3 linked regions of the Caenorhabditis elegans genome follow. The protein of the gene in region 2 purifies or fractionates together with the protein of the main gene of each other region. This does not show direct contact. Each region holds a gene or a part of one and is shown on either strand. Other genes may lie near its edges.

What was found.
Region 1: the proteins of C33A12.3 (region 2) and F29B9.1 fractionate together in Caenorhabditis elegans (co-fractionation; one large-scale study listed by BioGRID). This does not show direct contact.
Region 3: the proteins of C33A12.3 (region 2) and arrd-28 fractionate together in Caenorhabditis elegans (co-fractionation; one large-scale study listed by BioGRID). This does not show direct contact.

Annotation. Positions count from the first base shown.
Region 1 is NC_003282.8:4,662,005-4,669,700, reverse strand, and holds F29B9.1 (Protein-lysine N-methyltransferase CELE_F29B9.1), read right to left. Parts: upstream 4,323-7,696; 5' UTR 4,278-4,322; coding exon 4,216-4,277; intron 4,159-4,215; coding exon 3,978-4,158; intron 3,932-3,977; coding exon 3,803-3,931; intron 3,337-3,802; coding exon 3,146-3,336; intron 2,610-3,145; coding exon 2,462-2,609; 3' UTR 2,410-2,461; downstream 1-2,409. Other genes in the region: F29B9.12 (uncharacterized protein), read right to left, coding at 72-158; jmjd-1.2 (JmjC domain-containing protein), read right to left, coding at 4,760-4,815, 4,866-5,603, 5,658-6,030, 6,349-6,580, 6,633-6,953, 7,312-7,438, 7,493-7,696.
Region 2 is NC_003282.8:9,508,982-9,516,811, forward strand, and holds C33A12.3 (UPF0462 protein C4orf33 homolog), read right to left. Parts: upstream 4,022-7,830; 5' UTR 4,013-4,021; coding exon 3,884-4,012; intron 3,794-3,883; coding exon 3,722-3,793; intron 3,665-3,721; coding exon 3,611-3,664; intron 3,545-3,610; coding exon 3,415-3,544; intron 3,331-3,414; coding exon 3,241-3,330; intron 3,195-3,240; coding exon 3,103-3,194; intron 2,859-3,102; exon of another isoform or gene 2,782-2,858; intron 2,486-2,781; exon of another isoform or gene 2,414-2,485; intron 2,272-2,413; coding exon 2,146-2,271; 3' UTR 1,767-2,145; downstream 1-1,766. Other genes in the region: C33A12.4 (TFIP11), read right to left, coding at 1,304-1,402, 1,480-1,566.
Region 3 is NC_003284.9:10,180,733-10,188,663, reverse strand, and holds arrd-28 (Arrestin C-terminal-like domain-containing protein), read right to left. Parts: upstream 4,670-7,931; 5' UTR 4,642-4,669; coding exon 4,434-4,641; intron 4,390-4,433; coding exon 4,143-4,389; intron 4,098-4,142; coding exon 3,951-4,097; intron 3,905-3,950; coding exon 3,661-3,904; intron 3,606-3,660; coding exon 3,449-3,605; intron 3,405-3,448; coding exon 2,455-3,404; 3' UTR 2,410-2,454; downstream 1-2,409. Other genes in the region: myrf-2 (Myelin regulatory factor homolog 2, N-terminal), read left to right, coding at 706-778, 830-986, 1,095-1,385, 1,432-1,806, 1,855-1,968, 2,017-2,292, 4,752-5,610, 5,660-5,778 and 2 more.

The DNA of each region.
Region 1 (7,696 bases), 4.8 Mb from region 2:
AAGAATCAGTTTTTCTATTACATTCTATTACTTAAAAATCGTTTTACAAATACCAATTATAATATACTCACCCGTTCAGTATCATTCAAAAATAGTACAAGTTGACAGCATGCTCGCCGAGTAAGATTCATTGGTTGATCACATAAATGAGGCTTCATTCTGTAAAACTGGGCTCATTTTCTTCAAAATAAGACAAGAAGCGGCGGCTAGACGGTAATTGAATTATTTTATTATGTTTTTCGGCGGGAAGGATGGGGGGACAAGAAGACACAACAATTTGTCTTCATACTACTAAAAAAACTGGAAGAAGTTATGCAAAAAAAAATAACGTTCGGTGGGATAAAAAAAAGGAAGAAGCGGTCGCAGAAAATGAAAAAAAACGCCGTTTGTGGTGTTGGCAAAGAGAGGAAGAGAAATGGGAGGACCCCACGACGGCCACAATGAAATCAAACTTTTTGATGTCACACCAGGCCACTGACAATTAGTGACACCCGCCCGCCGGGGTGGCACGAGGAAACTAAACGTTTTATTCAATTATTGGTATTTTGGAAAGTTCTGGTCTTGGCACGAAAAGGTCATTTTTGATTCGGTTAGTTTTGACACTGAAATTTTTGCACTTTCCAACTTTAAATTGCATTATTTTTTCTTCTGATTTCCTAAAAATAAATCAACTAGAGTACTGTAGAAAGGTTTTTCTCGTAATTTAATGCACTGATGATTCTACATCGAAAGCTATTTTTTATTAGTCAGCCGTGAGTTTGTGATTTTTTTTCCAAAAATACGGTACCTGGTCTCGATACGACCAATTTTTGGTGATTCTTTAAAAATGCGCGAATTAAAGGGGTACTGTAATTTCAAATTGTGCTGGCTGCGGAATTTTTTGTCAATTTTTCATAGTTTTTTTTTACGATGTGTATTTGCTTGCTTTGCTTAAGTATTTTGATTGAAAAAAAAACTGTGAAGATCCAATTGGTACCCAGTAAAAATTCCGCAACAATAAAAATCTGAATTTACAGAATTTTTTAAAGGCGCACATCTTTTCGAGTTTAATAATAATTTTCTTGTCGAGACCGGTACCGTATTTTTTGCGCAAAAATCGAAACATGGGGAATAAAACAAAAGATTTTAAAATTATTATGCTCACAATATTCTGAAATGCGTGTTTAAATGTTGCTCGGATTTTCTCGAATGGGTCTCACCGTGAAAAAAAGTTATATATCCTTTTTTCGGGATTTCGTAGACGAATATCTTCATTTTTCTACTTTTTCTTGATTTTTGTGAAGATTTTCAGTTTTTAATTATTATTTTTCAAAAGAAAAGGAAAGATTCGAAAACTTTTTCGCGGTGAGACCATTCAAAAAAATTTTAATGAAAAAGGGTGTGCGCCTTTAAGAACTACAGTAGTGTCTAAAAGCTTTATTTTTTGAAAAACAAATTTAAAATAATAGAATAATATTTATAGAAAATTACAAAAAAAAGGAGTGGAGGTTACTGTACTCATTAAAGGCGCACACCTTTATCAAAAATCTGTCGTCGTATCAAAAATTGCAAAATTCACCTGGAAAATTATTTTTTTAATAGAAAACTATGTAGCATTAAAAATAAAAATCATCAAAAACAATCTCGAAAAGCTCAAATTTTTTAAACTACAGTACCCCTAGCTTAAAGGCGCATACATAGTTGAATCTCAGAACGTTTTTGAAAAGAAAAGTTGCAGAAAAACTTCCGGAAGTCAACTTTTTTGCATAACATTTTCGTCCTTCCTTCTTTCACCAAAAAACGACTATACTTGTGTGTGTGTCGTCGTCAATTGTCTTTGGCACTCTGCCTATACAGACTAATAAAAAACCACCAAGAAGTCACCCAGAAAACAAAAAGAAAACAAGAGAAATATGCATGTTCAGATGGATTAAAGAAATGTGTGAAAAGTGTGCGTACGGGAGGGGAGCAAGAGGTAGAAAACGAACATGTAAAAAAGATTGAATGAATGATTAATGAGGCGACGAAAGGTCGAAAAGAGAAGCTCTTTCACAACGTGGAATCTCTGCAGCTGCTGCTGTTGCTGCTACTTGTGCTCGGAGCCGAAAGTGAGCCCCCATCTTCGGGTCACAAGCACCCCATCTCCTTCCTTCAAAAGGAGTCCCTGGAGACGAAGGAGCTCCCCGCGTCTAAGAAGGCGCCGCCCTATCAAACTCCCATTTTCCGCGAAAAGTAGTCTAGGAGGAGAAGGGTCTGCTGCCACTTTCTCCAAGATCCATCATGCCGAGCAACACTGGCGTTAAAATGATGATGATGATGCACCTGATTAGCTAAAGAGAGAACACAGTGGGAGAGAGATAAGAGAAACCTACTTTTTTTTTATATAACAACTGAGAAACTGAGAAACGATGGGAGAAATGTGGGGGGGGGGGGGGAAGGGGGAAAAGAAATGAACAACAACAATAACACAGAGGAGAGGTGTTTATAGAGTCTTCTTCCGGAAGACGGCACCCGTTGAAGTGACACCTTGTTTTCCGCCAAACGAGAAGCTGTGACTTGCTGGTACTTCACACACGATCTCTAGACTTGTTGAGCCGCCGCCGCCACCGAATTGCGAGCACATCTCGTCGCTGAAAAGGAAAACAATTGATTTCGACTTACAATGGAAGTATTTGAACTTGCATATGTCATTTGAAAGAGTAACTTCAAAAAATTTAGGTGCATACGAGAACTTTGAACTAGAAAAAATCGATCTGAACTCGGTTCAGCTCATTTTTTCAATATTTTTTTTGAATCTAATGAACAATTTGAGACGATTTTTAAAAAATTCAAAAATCCTGACTTTTTTTAATCAAAAAATTTGGTTCAGTCAAAAAAAATTCCGATTTTTTCTGAAACCTTGGAAAATTGTTGGAAATATCTAAATTGATTTTCTTTTTTAAATCTCCCTAATTGAAAAAATACAATTTTTAACTGAAAACTTTGGTCAAAAAATTTTTGGTCAAAAAACAATGCAAATTTTTGATAAACTTTTTAATGGAAAAAAATGGTCTGGAAGCTGTTTCAGATCAACTTTTCTCAGTTTCAAAGTGCTCGTATGCCGCTCAATTTTTTGGAGTGACCTATTTAGAAGTTTCATTTCGAGGCCCTTTTTAGGCCTACTTACAAAGTGAAATTACACGAGAATATCACAAATCGACCGCCAGCGCTCAGACCATTATCAAGAAAACCCAAGTAGGCTTTCAGACGAGCTTCTCGTTCATCGGATAGGCTCATCGCGTCCCATGTGCCTTTATCGAGAATTACATCGAATTTCGAGGAGAAAAAGTCGGCTGGCGGTGTGGTTATGTCCAATTGCTGAAAGAAAACGTTTTTGCTTTGAAATTTCGAGAAAAACAATATTTAAAGGCGGTTTGCAGAAAAAATTCAAATTGGTGAATTAATTTTAAATTCCCGAGCAAATTAATAACCTAGTTTCGACATTTCGCGTTTTCTTCGATTTTCTTATATTTTCCTTAAACTTTTGAAACACCCCTTGTCAATTTTTAGAAAGTTTTCCGCAAAAAAATTATAAATTAAAGTAAACTTAGCGCTTTTCAGGCCTTCTTCCCGGGAAAATGTCTGAAAATTGATAAACGGTGTTTTTACAAAAGAAACCAATCAAATTAGTCGGAAAACGCGAAAATGTCGGAACTAGGTAATTTATTTGCGCGGAAATTCAAAATAATTAGCTATTTTTTCGTTATTTATGCAAAAATTTATGTTTTAGATGAATAAACACCTCTTCTCCGTTTTTAATGATGCAAAATTCAAAAATTTACACCTCAAATTCAATATCTACTAATTCTTCGTCTTCTTCCTCTTCTCGCTCAGCTTTCGAAGCGGCTGCAGAAAGATCAACAGCTTTTTGACAATAATCAACACCTTTCAGACTCTGGAATCCTTTCGATCTCTGAAAAAAAACTGAATTTCAGAGGTTTTGAGCTCGAAATCCATACCAATTTCCTCAAAACCGATCCATTTCCACATCCCAAATCAAGAATCTTTGCATCTTTGCCGGTTTTCGAATCGATTAAATATTTTACGATTCGTGTTTCAGACGATGTTCCGAACCACACCTCTCCCTCATCTCCGTGTTGCTTGAAATTTTTAAGTTCCAACTCGTATCGTTGATCCCAGCTGAAATAAAAATGTTTTAGCCAACTCTAGATGTAAATTTTTAGAATTTTTACTTACAAATCCTTGGTTCCAAGTTGTGAAGAAGCAATTTCAACACTTTGTTCGCTCATGTCGCTCATTTCAAGCTATTTTAAAACCCGAAAATAAATAATAAATTCCAAAATCTGAAAAAAGTAGTTCCATAGAGCTTTTTTTGCATTTGCATTTGCCTCGTTTCTCTAATTCTCTGTTCACTCTCTAGAGAGATCTCTTCTAGGAAATCCAAGTTTAAAGTCTAAAAAGCAGATATTTTCTTGCATTTCACTTTCAACAATGTTCACATCAAGGAAAAAAATTAACATAATCAACGCTTTATTGTGCGTGTGTATTTTCAAACTACAAAAAAATCCCCGTCAGTAAATTCGGGAGATCGTCTTGTACAAATTTTTGGATGCAAAAGAACCGCGTGAAAGAATATGGGATTGTGTGAATAAAACAATAAAACGAATGTAAAAATTAGTCAAAAATACGGGGAAATTACTATTAAGATCGGGGGGCACTTTATAATTGTACGAGATTTATATTTCGTCAAAGTGCACACATATCTTGAGGTAGAGGACGTTCACATTTTGAGCTTCTTCATGAGGCGATCTCTGGAACTCATTTCCTTTTTCTTTGCTGAAAAAAAAAATTATTAAACAGTTCTCAAGGTTTCGATCTTTTCTTACGTGGTGGTTTCTCCTTTTTCTCTTTTGGTTGCTTCGGTGGCTTTGGCTCTTTAACCTTCTTGATTTTCTCTCCGGAATGAACAGCTTCACAGCGCTCCAGTTCGTTGTCAAGCTCGCGGAAGCTTTTCGTCGCCTTTTCCGGAATCTCTTCGACGCGTGCTTCGAGATGGGATCCACAATAGTCGGCCACGTTCTGATTCAACTTTACTTTTCTTCCAGACGACGTGCATTGATTATTGAATATCTGGACAACGCCCTTCTGATCTTCAGTCGGTCCCATTCCAATCTTGATGGTCAATGGAGCTGTAACTTCGGAAGGACCTGCTGCTTCAGGAACCGGAACCTTCTCCTCGGGAACTTCCTCTTTCTTCGCCTTCTTCACCTTCGGAGCATCATCATTGTCCTTCTTAGCCTTTTTCGTATACTTCTTCTTGTAGGCAGTCGAGCTGGACGGGCAATAGTCCTCATCATCCCGCTCCGCGGATTCTCGACTTTTACGTTTCTGCTTCAACCCCATCGGCTTATTCTTGGCATTCTGAATCTTCGTCTGAATCTCAATCTGCTTCCTCACCGAGATCATAATCTTATTCTTGTCGTCAGTGGGCAGGATCGCGTTCTTCTCGGGACCCAATCTCAACTCTCGATCCATCCAGCGCTCCATTTCGGCCTTCATGATTTGTGACGCCGTCCAAATATTCTTCTCCTGCTCACGCATGTCAGAACCTTCCTGATTGGCTTCTGAAATGTAGCGAATATTAGTAAAACCGCTATACAAACTAGTAAATTGCTTACCTGTAATCTTCTCAAGCAAGACGTTTCGCATGTACATCCAATGAAGAAGTTCGAAATTCGGAAAGTAGAACTTCTCCTCGCTTCTAATTTCCTTACGAATCGCGTTTTCGAGATGGTACACGCGCATTTGCATCTCAAGATTTCCCAAATGCAAGAAGTTTCCTCCAAAAACGAGCGAATCGACTGGAGTGAGAACCGCGTGAATCCAACCAGCCGGGATGAGCAGTGTCTGACCTTCCTTGATCACAACTCGCTTAACAGCTCCGTTGGCAATGTCACCGAACCATGTAGTGGTGTCCGGAGATGTCTCGTGTGCTTGATAAGCTGCAAAGTTCTGCTCCGTTGGCGCGGCGATGTAGAAGATTTTCTCGCCCTGAAAATAGAGTTAATAAGCTTTGAGAAAACCAATTTCAGTTGAAAGAAGGGTATTTCGAACATTACGATCCTAAATGTGCTCAAATCAACGAATTTCGTGATGAGGCTTCTCAAAAATGCTTTTAAAATCTCGGAAAATAGGAGATTTTAGCCAAATTTAGTCTTTTTTTTTTAATTTTGAACCTCCAAAAAAACCAAAAAAATATTGAGAATTTTTTCAGAAGTTTCAAACGAAATTCGTTAATTTGAGAACATTTTGGCGGGGTCAGAACGTTCACAATCCGCGGAACCATTTATATTCCTTCAATAATTATACCTTCAAAATGTGATAGTAGACGCTACTACCACCAAAGTCCACGTGGAAATCCGTATAAGATCCAGCCATTCCTGCGAGACAAAACTGTTCCACTTTTGGTCGCTGATCTTCTGGAAGATATTCTTCTCTCTGGAGGAGTTTAATGTACTCCGCTCCACTGACATCAGGCCACAGGCGGTTGACCATTGAGATTTCCTGGACAAATCTTGGCGGCTTAGCGATTTCTTTCATCCTGGAAATGTTAATTAATTAATTTTTCAATTGTTTTCAGTTAATAAACTCACTCATTATTGTCCGAGAATTCAAGGGACAGAAAATTGTACAAGAGTGGTCTGTTTTTAGTGTCGCGAAAAAGTTTTCTGAACGTATCAAGCTTCATCGAATAGGTGCTCTGATTATAGACATCGATCGTGTCCACTTCATAATCCGATCCCATAATTTTCACAACATCCTCCAAATCGAATCCAGGCTTCGGCATTGTCATATTGAGGCCGTCCATGTCTTTGACCATAAAAACTTTTCCCCAGTTGTCAGCTCCTCCGAGTTTTTCGAATTCTCTGCGGAATTCGTAGCCATCTTCGACAATGCAAACCTCATCGTCGGTTCTAAAGAATACAAATTTAATTTTAAATAATCTTTAAGGGAGGTCTGGGTTTTTTGCTTGTTTAGACTCAAAATGTGCCGGAATGAACGAAAAACATTATTATAGGTGATAAATTCAAGTTTTTTCGTTGATTTATGTACATTTGAAGCCAATAGGTAATCAAAAAAGGCCAATTTTAGTAAACTGACAGCTCAGAATGTACCAAATAAACGAAAAATGTGAGAAAACGGCAAAAATGGGAGTTTTCAGCTGAGATTAACTCTTTTTCTTGAAATTTTTGTGAAGTCTTCGTTCATTTTGGCGTATTTCGAGTCTTCACAAATAACAACCAAGTCATCTTTTAATGAAAATTCCCTTACGGTGAGGGAACAGTATTTTCTCTGGTGATGAAATCCTCAATCCAAGTTTTTGAGCCAACTTCAATTCCGAGATGCTTCTCGTTCGGACTGTACCAGCGATAACGATGTGGGGCGACGACTTTGTATCCTAAAATAATAAATAAATATATTTAATTGCAAGCTATTCGATGAAAAAACTTACGAATGCTATGTCCGGTATGTGGAACGCATTTGGGGCAGAAAAATTTCTCATACAGGTAATACTCAAATTGCTCGAGGCCTGAGCACAGAAAATGGTACCAGGTTTGGCAAGAGTCACAGCCAATCCATTGGAAGTCATTTTTCTTGTGATGGTGAGATTTCTTCTTGCTCATCAGTGGCTTTTCCTTTTCCTTCTTCTTTTCCT
Region 2 (7,830 bases):
GTGAAGTGGGATTTTATTTTTTTTAAACTCAAAATGAGTTTTTAATAACCAAATATATTTTTCTTTTAATTCCAATTATTCCCAGTCAAACGTTTTCACAAATGAAATTTTTGGACTTTTTGAAAAATTCAAGTATGCTGCCTCTACAAAGTTTAAATAAAAATGTTAAAGCAAAATTAGAATACAAAACTCTTTGGAGCAATTTTGTTTAATCAAAGCGTATATGCTGCACAACGTTGAGAGCTCCACACAAGAAGAAACTACCCAAGTAACAGAAAACCTTAGGTTTGACGAGTTTTTTGAGTCACAACAACTGCTAACATGTAGCTTATTGTCTGATTTTTGTACCTGATAAAAATAGTTTTTTGAGTTATTCTGGATTATTGTCGCTCTGTGTATTCTAGAAGTGTTTCTCTTCTGTTAGGTTATAAAATTGAATTATTAATTTTCAAACGATTCTTTGCTGTTTTTTGAAAGCTAGACATTTGTATTTGTATATGATATATGCATAACGGCTTCAGTCATTTTCTTGAACTTAAAATTTACATTTCAGCTGTTTCAGGTACCAAATGGGTGCAACTTTGTAATATAATTGATGGCTTCAATGCGCACTGGTATCCCTTGGCAACAAAACCTCTAGAGATGTAGAAATTGTGTTATTCGATAGTTTCATATTTTGTGGTCGGAAAACTGAGAGCCTAATTATGAAGCAAACACTTGGAAAACAAAATGGGAGAGTATTTGAACAGAAGAGTCGTAGAGAAAATCAAATTTTTTGCTCGAACTTTCATCGTCCGTCTGCGGGAACTTGACACTTTTTTATGATAAACCCTAGCTTTCTCTGTGTACTTGAACTTTTCATAAATCCATTTTCTGAACCAAATGTGCAAATCTGTAAAATCGTGGCGAGACCCAATCAGAATGTCCACATGCGCCTCTAACTGACATGCCAAAAAATCTGCGCGAATACGATAGTTTTGAATTTTCAAAAGCCCTAAATATGAACAGATTATTTTAAATAATTTTCTAGCACAAATGCCTTGTTTCGCTCTCTCTAAATTTTCAAAATTCCATATTTCAGACCAATTTTTTTTCATAAAATTAAAAGACAAAATGTTGAATTTTCACCGATACCATTCATTGCTTTCAAAATTCTACATCAAATTCCATTCAATCCATGATTATTTTGACAATTTTACAAGAAACATTAAAAAATTAAGAGAAAAATTTTAATTCACATTGAAACGCATCCATCCTCAATCCTCATTGTATTGGGAGTATTTGTATTTGCCACGTGGCATATTCAGTCGTTTTTCTCCTCGGTGCATTCAGTTGGAGCTGGTCCAACTGGAGTCTCATCATAGTCCAAATCCGGGCGGCCTGGATGAGATTCCTCGATATCCTGAAATAATTTTATATAGATTTCACAGAGTTTGACGGTAGTTTTCATTATAATTTCAGATAAATTTAAACTATTACCTTTTCCGGAATTGGAACACTATCCTCATCGTACTTGCTGTAGTCAACCTCTACATCAGGAACTTCTTTGTCTTCTTGATCACTCATTGTTGTCCAAGTTGTTGGCTTCAGATGCTGCTTATGAAAACGAGAATGAGCTCTTTTTATGCTGTAAGAGGCTCGCTAGCTAACCATTGCCACGCCCCCTTTTGTGCTCAATTTCCATGGAGACCCGAGCTAAACAACAGGTTTCCAGGGACAACGGGAGCTCTAGATCATGCGACATGTCATGTGGTTGTGTCTATTTTCGAAAGGAAAAGTTTATGAGTCAGAAATATAAAACAAGAGAATACTGAAAATAAATAGTTTAAACATTTAAAACACAAAAAATGAGGAGTGAAAGAATTTGAAAATGGGCAATCGGAAGAACAACACAACCTAATGGGGCATAGCGAAATTCTCAAATGAAATAGGAAGGAAAACAAGAAAATTTGTAAGCAATTTTGAGAAGAACAATAAACCCGGTTTCTAATAGAAGGTGAATAAAAATTTTCAAAAAGTTATAATTTTTGTTGTCGGATGACAATTGACACATAAAAGCCAAAATGGAATTGGTTGAACAGCTCAAAACCGGAAAGAAAACAAATCTCACTGATATATTGGAAATTTCTAAATTTAAAGCCAGTGTCAATAGTGCCCAGCCCAAAGATCTCCGTACTTGAAATCAGCGAAAGGACGATCTCCATAACCTTCTGGAATCACTCGGCGCATGTTGATTTTTTGGAAGAATTCCAGGCGGTGGAAGTCTGGTTCCTGAAAATTTTATTTTTAATGTTTAAAAAAATGCTAAATATTATGTATTCACCCAATCAATGTGATTCTCTTTGGAATAGGATGTGAGATTATATTTAATATATCCAATTCACCAAATTCTTAATTAATTAAATCATTTTCCCCTGCCTCAGAAGACAGGGCTGCAAAAATTGTACACTGGGTCTTTAGTAAGGCCCTGAAGTATTATAAGAAATCGACTATTCCCTGTGGCGTAAAGAGGGTACCCTCCCGTTTGAACCGACATCTGCCGGGTTCCGCCACCCTCCATTCTATGTGAGAGGTGGGCGGGGCGTCCGTTCAGATTGTGGAGACGGAGACACAACGAAAAAGGCATGCCGAAGGAAAACATGAAACGAACAAGAAATTTAATATTATGCAAATCGTGTTTAAATAGTCCCAGAAAGGATTAATATTCAACATCTACTTTTTAAAAATATTAGTTTTAAATCTCAGTTCACCTAAACAAAAACATTATCAACATAAATTTTTCCCCTGCCTCGAGAGACAGGGCTTCAAAAATTGTACTTCGGGTCTTTAACAAGGCCCTGAGTTAGTTATGGTTTAACGAGTTGAGACTCGTCAATAGGGTGAGTATATAGTTGCGTGTACGGACGAATCACGGGTTTCGCAGTCAACTATGTTTTATGTTTACGATGGGCGGAGCAAAATGAGTGCCGATAGTGAAGACAAATGTGAGAAGAAAAGATTATGAGTGATGGGCTCTATATTGGGAGCCAAAAGTTGCAAATTTTTATATTACAAACAGGTTGAAATCATTTTTTTTCAATAATTTATTGTATTAAAGCTCACCGAATAAGTTCCATCGGTCACAGGGCTCAATGCGGCGTAAACGCGTTCCGAATCCATTCCATGGATGTGATAAGCGTTAAATTTTGTAACTTCTGGAAATAAGATTTGCATAATTTTACAATTAAACTTAAAAATTACTGGATGGGAAGTATGCAAGAGGAATCTCGACTTCTCCTACCCAACGATTTCCAACCCATTTGTTGCGTACTTCGAGTTCGAGTTCTTCGCCTGAAATGATTAAAGATTGAAGGGAAACATGTAACTTTCGAAAAACTGATATTTTCAAAATACTTAAAAAGTTAAAATACTCACCGTTGTTGATAGTATGACGAACTCCGTCAAAAAGAAGGCAGAGCCAATGTCCATGTGGACCAATCTCAACTTCTAGATACTGTCCACGATCATTTGCGAAGAAGAATTCAATAACTTCGAAATCCCAAAGCTGAAAAGAATTTAATTTGGAGAAACTATTGAATTATATACTTTATCACAGTAAAAACTGACTAACCTGTGGTGTTATTCCTGGTGGATCGAGTGGTTCTGGATCGTCGAAGAATGGTGCCTGAATACGAAATTTTGTTGAAGTTTTTATAAATATATAAATATTCAAAATTATTACGTCGAATGAAATCTTGACAACTCGCTTATGTGGGCGCCCGACGAGTCGCTCAAAGTGCCACTTCAAGTCAATCTGCAAAAATTCAAATATACGCATTTACAAAAAGTTTGCAATAAACCGTAATTTTCTCGAATCTAAATGTATAAAAATTCGAAAACTCACTTTGATAGGCTCATGTGCAAGTGGAAGTCCATCCCAAGTATGATCAATGGTGTACTTGAGTCCTGCCATCGAGTTCATTGCCTCGGCTTTCTCGAGATCGTCATGGTCGGTTTGTACCATATTCCACATGACTGAAAGCTGCAAAAGAAGACGAATACACATGTCAACCGACATCATATGAGACGAGAGAATGTGGTGGAGACGAGGAAAGGCGTAGCTTATAAGGAGAAAGATACACAAAAAATACACGAAAGTTTAGAATGTTGAAAGCTTGAATAACGAACATTGTGGTATTTTGAAGAATAACTTTTTAAAGAGATACGCTCGTAATTAATATATTATCATTCAAAACACTACATATCCTCTTGTAAAATAAACTCCAACGAGTTAAAAGGAGAGAAAATCAATAAGGGATATATAAAAATGACTAAACTTTGAAATTTAAAAATAAATAATGAAATATGCGTCGAAAACTCTTTTAAATATCCAAAAATAGGCCTCTTGAAACAATTTTGGCACTCAATCTGTGTACTTTTACGTGGTGGTGTTTGCACACATTGCACACTAGCTGCCGACATATTTCTGCGTCTCTTCTGTGCACGCACTCTCTTGTCTTCCAACTGTACCGGTACTGTAGAATTTTGATAGAAATTAAACGAATTTCCTACTGGTTTTCGTAACTTCTTTTATCAAGTATATGTGTTATCCAAAATTTTAAAAACGAATGGCATCGATTGCTTAAACTTTATGTGGTCAGTCACGAGAAACTGTTGAAAAGTGAAAATGTGGGAATAAAGTGAAGCAAACAAATCAGCTGACCACCTCGTTTTCTCTCTCTCTCCGTATTCCACTCCGCTCCCAGTTTGCTTATCGCGCATTGTTTCCTTTCACGCTAACAAAAATACAATAGAATTCGAAGAAGCAGAGACAGTTTTGAAATCGTGGAATGAGGATGTTGGAAGTTGGCCAAGCGATCATTAGTTGCCGAAAAATGGATGCTTCTCGTCTCTCATCAAATTAAATTGTTTAAAAAATAACGAATCAATAGAAATTGTGATGCAAGTGTTTGCACCTCAAATGCACTCTGACTGTGCGAAAAAGAAACGAATGAAATAAAAATAAAGTCGTTGCGCTACGCATGACCGTTTGCAAAATTAAACAAACATCTGAACCAACACATGTGTTTTATTACACAGAAGATACATTTGAAACTGTCACCTGTTTCTTTCTGAAAAGCAACTCCAAAAATGTTTCAACAAATAATTAAATACTTTTCTGAAACTTAAAAAAAACATAGTAAATCTACAATGTATATCAAAATGATACGGTACCCATGTAGTCTTAATATAACAATTGTGAACTTAGACTAACCATAAAATAAAGAAATATATTTATTAAAAAGCAAAATGTTTCGAAACTTTTAGCAATTCTGTCTCGTGAGAGAGGTTCAGATAAGCAAAGGAAAACAAAAATGTCATATGCGTACAATAATGATGTAATATGTGGAAATAGTGATATCATTTGACGAAAATAAGTACAAAGATTAATTGAAATTTGAGGAAAAGCTCCAAATATATGTTTACCTTTTGACTGTTTTTCTTATTTTTAGTTACCGTATTTCCTCTATGTGTGTTGCAGCCGGAGTGCTAATTTGTGGCAGCTCAGAAAAAATTTCGACCGTCTTTTTTTGAATACTTTCTTCTATAATTTGAAATGTTTTTTATATCTTTAAAATTAACCGAAATATAAACTGTCAAAGAAGAGATCTAATCATGTAACTTTTTAAAAAAATTAATACATATATTTTTAGGTGTTGCAATTGGAACAGCCCACACTAAAAGTATCCAAAACTATTCAAAAGTTTATATTTCTAGTACACATACAGTTATGGAAGAAATTCGTAAAAATACAGTTATCTTGCTCAGAAGTCCTAGAATATTAATAGTTTTTAGAAGAATTTTGAATATTTTCCTACAAACTTAAACTTACAACTTACTTTTACCTACAAATTTAAACTTACAATATATCATAGCTTTGCCTGAATATTTTCGAAAATCTTATTAAACATTGAAATGGTTTATCATGATGTGAGTATATTTCAACAGAACATTCCAGTTGAAATTGTTTCCTCTTGAATCAGTTTTGAAAATTTTAAAATTCGTTTTAAAAATCATTGTTGAAACTGCTAGAAAAATATCACATTTGAAAAATTTCGCTCTGTTGACTCTCAATTTCCAGGACGTCCAAATTATTCGAAACTAAAACGTGGAATCTTGAAGATGAATTTTAAAACAATTCATTTCTTCTCGATATTTATCCAATTAGGTTCTCGATATTTATTCAATTACAGTTTTCAATATAAAGTATATGTAAAAACTTCAAATATTTTTAAACACGGAATTTGTTACTTGACACAAATAAAAAAATCAGTTGAAAGTTGGCTCCGGCATTTTCTAAAAAGTATTATGCTTCGACATTTGTGGATTTCTTTGCTGAAACAGTAATCATTTCAATTGTTGGTTGGAATCCTTCAACTATTTTATTTCTTTTTTGAAGCGAATTGGTATGAAGATTTCATCTGAAATCTCTGCTTTAGAATTTCTCTTTGAAAATATAACTCTTCTAAAAGTCTTAATTTCAATGACAATAGACGAGGAAGGAATAATGCTCTTTGACATCTAATACAGAAATAATCCAGCATTGAAGGCAGTGTTTGACATTTAGAAAAAATCCCTGTTTCACAAATACTTAATACACTGTGAGATTAGATTGATAAAAAAGGTTCAGTAGATCCTCTTTTGATATTTAACTTTTTACCATTCAAAGATGATATTGTTTATGGGTGTCATGGACAAACGTGAACAAATTTTTTTGATAAAGTATGAATCCAAAAATAGAAAGTTGATATGATCAAATGTTTACAATCGATGTTTTCACAAGTTGCAGACAATTAAAATATAAATAATCTGAAATTGCAAAATATGTGTTTGTTGATCTAAATTATTTCACACTATTCAATTTGTATAAAGTATAAAATAGATCTGCTTAATTTTTTTGAAAGAGTTAATTTTTTTACCTATCGCACTCAAGGTGGTTTTATCATCGGGGGCACTTTCTGACTTTTGATTCAAGAACCAAAAAATGCAAAAATGTAGGAGGACATTGCAAAAAGCAGAATTTAATTTTCCGTTGTTTATAAAAAATATTATAAAAGTACAAATTAATCAAACGCTGAAAAACACAAGTTACTAACGAAACAGATTTTTAGAATTTTGTCATAAGACTTAGTTAGTCCATTTACACTTGTTAGATTACAGTTTATTATTTTTGTAACATTTTTTGTTTAACCATGAAAAAAAAGTTACTGAACTTCAGCAAAATGTACCCCGGAAAACATATATCCTGTTACTTCACTTTTTAAGACAGTTTATCAAAAAAGGAGGGTTTCGCAAAAATTATTTGCTTTCTGAAAAATATAAATATCAGAAATTTTTTTTTAAAAACTGTGTGCAAGAATTGTTTAATAGTAAGTAAAATATCATAACATCTTCACATTCTCAGGTAAAAAGAACTATAAAAATTTTTTAGAACCGGAATAAAATGGCTGGGGATTTTTTTACAACTCGGCATAGCTTAAAATTCTCATCAATTTGATGCTCCCACATTTTCACCAGGCATACAAAGTGAGCCGAGTTCGACGAAACTGAGAAAATTCAAATTTTGACATTTTTCTACAGTATTGACATAAATGAGGAACGATACTGAAGTAATCATGTTTTGAAGTTTTTATGATTTCAAAAATGTTCTTTCATCGAGACCCAATCATCAAACGGTTAGAAAACAATAAAATTTAAACTAATCAGATTGGATCAGAATTTGTTCGATCTCATTGATCCCGCCATTTCCAGTTTCCAAACTGTTCATTGACATTATGTCTGTACATATTC
Region 3 (7,931 bases), on a different chromosome or scaffold from region 2:
CGCCCTCCTCGTCCCTCCTCAGTACCCCCCAGTCAGGCAAGGGTGCCCGCGTGTGTGGTCAAACGAAAGAACACGATATATGCAACGAGAGTGAAAGAGTGCGCGACCTCGAGGAGACGACAAGAGAAAAAAGAGCGAGCGGGTGGGCAGAAGAGAGCGACGGCACAGTAGAGACCTTCTACCACACACACATTCGCCATCGCGGAGACTGGTACGAGCCAAAGAGCGACTGCGCTTCGGTCTATCTTCTGTCAAAAAATCATAAACATCACTCAGCCCCGTATTTCTTAAATTGATTATCATACCTACTTGTATGGTCGCTAATTAAATGGTCCGAAGACCCGTTGCAACTCGCCCTCCCAAAGGTATGTGTGGTATTCATTTCAAAATTGCTGGCGTCAGCAGCGGCAACAAATTTCTCGCGTTTGTGTGCAGAGAGTAGAACGTGTGTGCCTTTGAGAAGATGAGAGATAAAAAAAGTCATGTGAGTGAGCCAAATGGCTCACAGTTCTCTCGCATGTGTTGCGATGTGTATTTGACCAAAAAATCAATAATTGCTCGGTGTACCCTTCTTTTTGCCAGGTCAAACCGCGACTGTTCCCTTCAATTTGCCAACGCGTGCATAACAAAACAAACTAAAAAAAACTACCGAACAAAAATTTTAACTTCTATTCGAAATGAATTCATGCTCAACTCCTGTTTCAGAGGAGGGCCTGAATGATCCCTTAGCGAACGTCGAACAATTCAACATCATCCAATTTCTTCAAAACGACGTAGAGTGAGTTTTGTAATTTCGAAATGTTTCGTAATTTGACATAGCGGTTTTTAGCTTCAATCTTCCAATAGAAGCATTTGAACAAGGAAATATGGATCAAAATATTCGAATTGATCCTATTTTACAACGCCAGCAAATGGCAAACCAACCTATGCTGATGCCTCAGCACATGCTTCAACAACTTCATCAACAACAAATCTATGAGCAACAAGTAAGTAACAAGTCAATGAACTCTTTTTCGTGTATTTAATGCTAAATTAAAAAAATTTGATTAATATCTGAAGTGCTTGAAAACATTTTTATGAATATTGAATTTCAGCTTGCATCAATGCCGATGACACCAGCCATCACAGATTTGACTCGTCATGGATCATCGTCCTCCCCGTCAACCACCAACTCTGATCCACCATACTCACCAGAAGGTCTTAACAATTTCGGACTAGGAACACAACGTCCAAACCACGGAGTGATTCCAAACGATATCTCAAATGTGCCACAACACATCAATCGTCAATTCAATCCCAGAATGGGACCGAACACATCACCAAATCCACCTTCATTCCCACAATTTCTCAACAGTAACCATCCAACGCCAGGAAGTTATGTTCAGGTATAAGGTTAAACAAAAGTTTATTTTTCAAAAACGTTGTTTTCAGTCAATTTCCCCAGACAGTAACGGTCAAGGATTCGCACAGAGCAATTTGTACAATGCATTGAACGTTTCTAGTGATGAAAGTATTAATGGCTCCGATGACATCCCAAATCGCAAACGCCCCCGTATGGACCAGAATATGGATCCCAGCTTCATCATGCATGCTCCAGTTTCTGGAAAACTCGGGGCGGAAGTCACAGAAGAAGGCGGACAGCCAAACATCCGTTTCTTTAAGTATCAAGAGGAACAATGGTGCCCAATGTATGATGCAAATGGAGAAGAGTTGGGTCGTCTCCAAGTGCACGTTCTGGCAGACAAAGGATTCAATTATTCCACAAATGATAACTGCTTTGTTAATCAAAAGAAAAACCACTTCCAGGTAAATTTCTTTTTTTTTCAGCAAAAATTCTAATGTTTCATTTTTTAGGTCACTGTCAAAATTGAGGCGATTGATCCATCACCACCACAGTGCTTCAAAATTAACGGAGTATGCAAACCAATTGAGAATTTCCAACTTTCATTCGTGGGCGCGAAGTCGGAGGTGAGTGAAATTTCAAAGTTATCAAAATGATATATTTAAATTTTGCAGTCTCAAAACTCAGAAATCCCCATCCGCCAGTCTACGACTGAGCGCAAACCTATATTGCATACACCAGTTCTTTTCAAAATTGTCGAACGCCGAATGACCATTGTGACAGTTCCAAGACTTCACTTCTCGGAAACTACACTGAACAATCAGAGAAAGAACTTGCGTCCAAACCCGGACCAGAAGTACTTCAATCTTGTTGTCCGTCTATACGCAACTGCCACTGATGGAACAACTGTATTGATGCAGGCATTCGCCTCGGAGCGTGTTATTGTTCGGGTAAGTATTTTTGTTGAATCGGTTGTGAGAAATAATGTTATGCAAAAAACAATTGTCCTAATCATATGTGGTGCTGTGTCGTACAGGCAAATGAATACAGCTTAGCATTTGCGAAAATAAGTGAACGATTTATGATACATTAATATTTCGGATAAGAAACATTCAATTCTGATAATATGTGTCTGTGTTAATCCGCTCGACCCAATAGGGGTGCTCATGTATATCATCTTCAAGCACTACTTCAAACTCGGGAAGCTCTTCAAATGGCTCATCCACGATCAGTGAATGTTTGGGTATTACCTCCTCTTGTTGAGCTGGCACTGAGAGATTATCTTCTGTGCATCCTATCCAAATAGGAATTGAATGATTATGAGTGTGGCCACCTTCTAATGTTATTTCGACTTCATAGTGATATTCGATTTGGAGGACGTTCCAGTAACAGATTTCAATGCTTGGTGGAATATTGAACGGGATGTGCATAACATGGATATGATCTTTCCTATGAATATTTTCTTCGAAAATTCGTACGTTTCGTTGACTGCAATAGCTTTCATCAAGTTTCACATTAGGCACGCGTAGTCTTTTCTTCTGCACCAGTGTGCCCTTGACGTAACGGGGCTCGCTGCCCTGCAAAGCAACTATTACATGCTTTCCACGCTTGAAGCATCGCTGAGATAGATGAATTTTGGTTGCTCCATACTCTTCTGTGTAGGGTGGCTTGTACGCTTCCTTAGCCCACGTGTCAATAAAACGGTCAACGAGAAGCTCACACTGTTGTTGGAAAAAATTTTTTGGTAAGCTCACTGTACTCGCGTGAATCATGTACTTGATTTCATCTCCTAATGTTGGCGGAAGAATTGAGGTGTCATACTGGGAATCCGCAAATGGGAGTTGAAACCGAAAGTTATGCTCTCCTGGTGACAATAGGGTTTCATGTGATAAGTTTGCTATAGCCTTGAATCTTAGAAATTCATACCAAAGACCTCCCACTCTCACTTCACCGGTAAGAATAAGTCGAAGAGACCTTAACTCCTTTGGTTCAACACTGTTCATAATGAATGTTACTTCTACATCTGCGCGTTCCAGTGGCTTTTTTTCTGATTGGGTGACGTCTAAAGAACAACAAATGTTATATTCGTATAAATGAAACACATACTTGTGACTGAAAGCTTCTCTATGTCAACAGAATAATCTCTATTTGATGTTTCTTCCTCTTCATCCTCCGAGTCGTAATCATCGTCGTCATCTGAGTCGTCATCTACATCTTGTACCCTTTTGAAAACAGGAACCGCTTCTCGTGGACGTTTGTGTTTCTGAAATAATGAATTTGTATTATTGATTCTAAAAAATATGAAGTTATCAACTCACAGCAACTTCCTCATTACATATAATGATAGGGTACTTGAATATAACTGGTTTCTTTCTTTTCTGCATTTTAATTTCCAAAACAATTTCATGTTTTACAACGAGAACATTCCATAGGGACATGGAAATCGATATTAGACTCTCTGGTGGGACCACAAGTGAGATAGATGTGTTTGCGGTCGACTTCTGCTCTTTCAAAAATTTCACAAAACGTCTGGTGGCCAAATAGTTGCTAGGATGACTCTCGCTAAAACAAAAGATTGTGAACTTTGGCGCTTTGTCTAGCAACCTACCGGACTTCCACCAATTGGGCCAACTTACACGTAAAATGCTCAATCACGGATTTCTCAGTGTTTAATTCCCATCCAACTATAATTTCTTCATTATGACAAAAAGCCGTCTTTTCGAGAAAAATTCGGCCATTGATCGGATCGCATTTCCTGAAAAATTTGAAACGCGTTTTAAAATTAAATGCGATTTTTCACTTGTGAAGAATACTTCCATGCTCGACACACTTATTAACCATGTGCTCCACCGGATAACACGCTTCGTGCGGCATTTTTAAAATTAATGATCTTCGAACTTCGAATATTTTCTCCACATAGTTGTTTTCGTGCCACGGAGCGACAGAAGCACGTACACAGTAGATAATTTCACTTCCATCTGGGAATTTCATAGAGGGAGGAAATCTTGGCAGCCAAACATCGATTGCTGCTCGTAAGGGTGATTCAACTGATATTTTGACTTTGTCTGAGTTTATTTAAAATTAATCTTACCTCCTGGCTCTACGAGAACCCATTGTTGCTCATGAAGAAATTCATAATGAAGAGCGTCGCCTTTACAAACATAGCCGCGAAAAATTATTTGTGCAGAATGAACAAGCTCGCTTGAATTATTGATAGTCACATCAGCGGTAAAAAAATTATCAACTGAACTATCAAATACCGCTGGACAATCTATTGAAGTAACATAAGCAAGATCCATGAGTGGAAAAAAAATAAACGCGGACAACTAAAAGAGAGAGGAATGAAGAGCTATTTGAGAGCTCACGCGTATTTCGTTGCTAGCAACACATTAATAAATCATACTTGCAGGCAACCAATCCCGGATCATTTGAACCTCCAGAAATGGTAGACGCGAGTTGGAACAAGAATGGAGGAATCTTGAGCACAAATGGACCTGTTGTCATTGGAAAATCAGAGCCAAGAGCACAACTAACCGTCGATGGAGATATTTACTCAAGCGGCCGTGTTATGTATCCATCTGATATTCGTCTTAAGGACAACATCACTGAAAAGGGAGCCAAGGATGCTCTGGAAAATTTGCAAAAGCTGCGTATTGTTGATTACTTCTACAAACCGGAGGTTGCAAGTAAATGGGGATTAACCGAAGATCAGAGGAAACGAACGGGAGTTATTGCTCAAGAGCTGGCGGCGGTGCTTCCAGACGCAGTGAAAGATCTGGGAGATTACCTCACTGTCAACGAGTCTCGTGTCTTCTATGAGACAGTTTTGGCAACTCAGGAACTGTGCCGTCTGACTGGAGATCTTGATCAGAAAATTGATGACAAAGTTGCTGAGATTAGTCAGCGACTCACTCAGTATGCACAGAAAAAGAAAATGCTCAACTCAATGGCATCTGGACTAAATTCTGAAGGAAGATCTCTGAATGCTTCTAGAACATCACTTGATTCATCCGCTTCTGCTTTAACTCTTACAAACACCAAAAAGAACCGCCGTTCATCCAGAAAAGACAAAAAAGATGCACCAAAATCTAAAATGACTCATGGAACCGTTATCGGATTAGTTGGAGTAATGGCATTCTGTCTTCTTGCTATGTCTGCGCTTTACATTCTTGACTGGCACAATCGTAACTTCGGATATCATCATTTCACACCATCTGCTACCACATCGGGACCAAAGGAAGGTCCAGGAAACGTCGTTATTCCATTGGGTAAGGCTGTATATTACACGTGAAGTATACTTCAATGTTTAAATTTCAGATCACTATGTACCCCTGAGACAACCGGATGCACCGCCACTAGTTCCTTTTTGTCCAATGGAAACGTGTCGTGGATATTGCTGCATGGAATATGACAAAGACCACGCTGAGCTGGAAATTGTAAGTGTCCGTTTCCGGAAAGGTGAAACTTTGAAAATTGCATTTGTAGACTGAATATGATCCAAATACCGCAACTGACAACGACTTTGGGTTCAAAGCAGATACTCGTTCCGATTTCACACTTAAAGGGTTTGGTAACAACGTGAAAATTTCACTACCTGAATTAGGAATGCAAATTGATGAGCGTTACTGCATCGAAAAAAGCTGTGTCAAGAAGAGGAAGGTGTACAGTCTCTTTATTCCAATGACTCGATACCTGCCAAATGTTCCACTGGAGGTTCAGATTGAGTGAGTTTACACTTTTTGCGCAGAAAAAAATCAAATAAAAATACGAGTTAGCCATTACTACTTTCTTCGGCTTGATTTTACTCAGTTTTAACAATTAATTTTTTTCCGGAACTCTCCTGCTGTTAATTTCTTTTCAAATGCTCAAAATTCTTACTTTAAAGTTTTTAATAAACTGATAATTGTGTGTTAGGACACCACATTCAAAAAATTGAATCAAATTTATGTATCTATTTCAATTGAGCGTGGTGTAATTTTTTTCTCTATAGGCTTAGAAACTAAAATTTCTAAGAACAAGAATTTGAAACAAATCTTCTTGTTTTAATTTAGGAAGAATATTTTGAAAGCGTGTCATAATCCACAATTATCAAACATTTTTATTTATTAATTTTTTGTGTACGCATTTGAAAACGTATTTAACACAACTCAATTTGAGCACCCCACATAAAACATCAACTATCATATCATTGAATTTTCGCTTTTCAGTGTCCCATCTTCCAAGGTGGTCAACAACTGTGGCTACATCCAGGAATTTGACAACAGAAAATGCGACGAAACAGGAAGCTCGTCCACAGAAACGGATGCTCCAAGATCGATCCAACTGTTTGATAACACGTTCCAAGTCAGTGCAGGTCAATGGACTCAATCAGCTTATCGCTTCCGTGTGGGTTACTCTACCGAACTCTGCTCGATCGACGATACTCATTTTGGAGGATTCTACGAGGAATACAATCTTATCTTTTACCGCGCGTGCAATAGAACAAACTCAACTGCTATTAATGTCGTCTAACATCAGAGATAATCACACAATAGATACCAATTTTTCTCTCCCACCATTCAAATACAGTGTACTTCCATATATATCATAAAACATTCCGGTTGTATGATACGTAGCAATAACCCTTCGTAGCAGAGTATCCGCCCTAATTAAATCTGAAAATTGGAAATCCATGGATACCGATACACCGGTTTGTCATATTCCTTTTTTCTTAATGTACTCATCACTGATAGCCATCATCCAAAACTAAACACTTTTTACTCCTCTCATTTTACGTGACGCATTTTCTCACTGATCTTTACATTGTTGCATGTAAAAAATGCCCAACTCTCTCTCCCTCCCACTCTCTCTCTCTCTTTCTCTTGTCATTTTCCAAACATTTTCTTTAAAGTCTCTCCTTCTGAAATTTTTGGATACTATGTTATCATGTTATTTTGTACTTACCGTACTCAATGGCCATTGCCATCCTCGGCCCAGTGTTTTATTTTGCGTCGTGCTTGTGTATTTATCGCATTCTTCTCATTCACTCTCTTCCTCCAAACTTGTAGCATCTCGCTTTGTTCATGTAGTTGTTGTACGCGTACGTTGAAAATAAGTTTAAGAAAAAGTCAATAATTTTTATCCGTTGTCCTCTTAGTTTTCCATTTGATGTCATTACTGTTATTTATAAATACTCATCAAACTTGTTGTATGTGAGTATTGCATATGCGCCAACAAACCTCCTCATCCCTACACGCCCACAACGGAAAACAGTTTGGACTTTTTTGTTTTGAAAAATCGTATCTCATCACACACGCCCTGATGTTTGTATTTTATTTTGATGAACTGCAACAATAATAACTGTGTCGACTCAATAAATCGTTTTTGTATACCACAGTTTATTATTTTATTTATTTTCAGCCATAATACATAATTTTAAAAAGATGGTAAAGCGGAGCGTCTCATTTTTTAGCAGGAACATTTTTAGCATGTTTCCATTAGTGATATATGTATAAGTCTACGGTGGACTTATTTGCAAAAGGCTTTTTCCCCACAGTTCACCAATCGCAAACCACCTGTTGATAACTGGAGCCTGGTTTGAAAAAAAGGT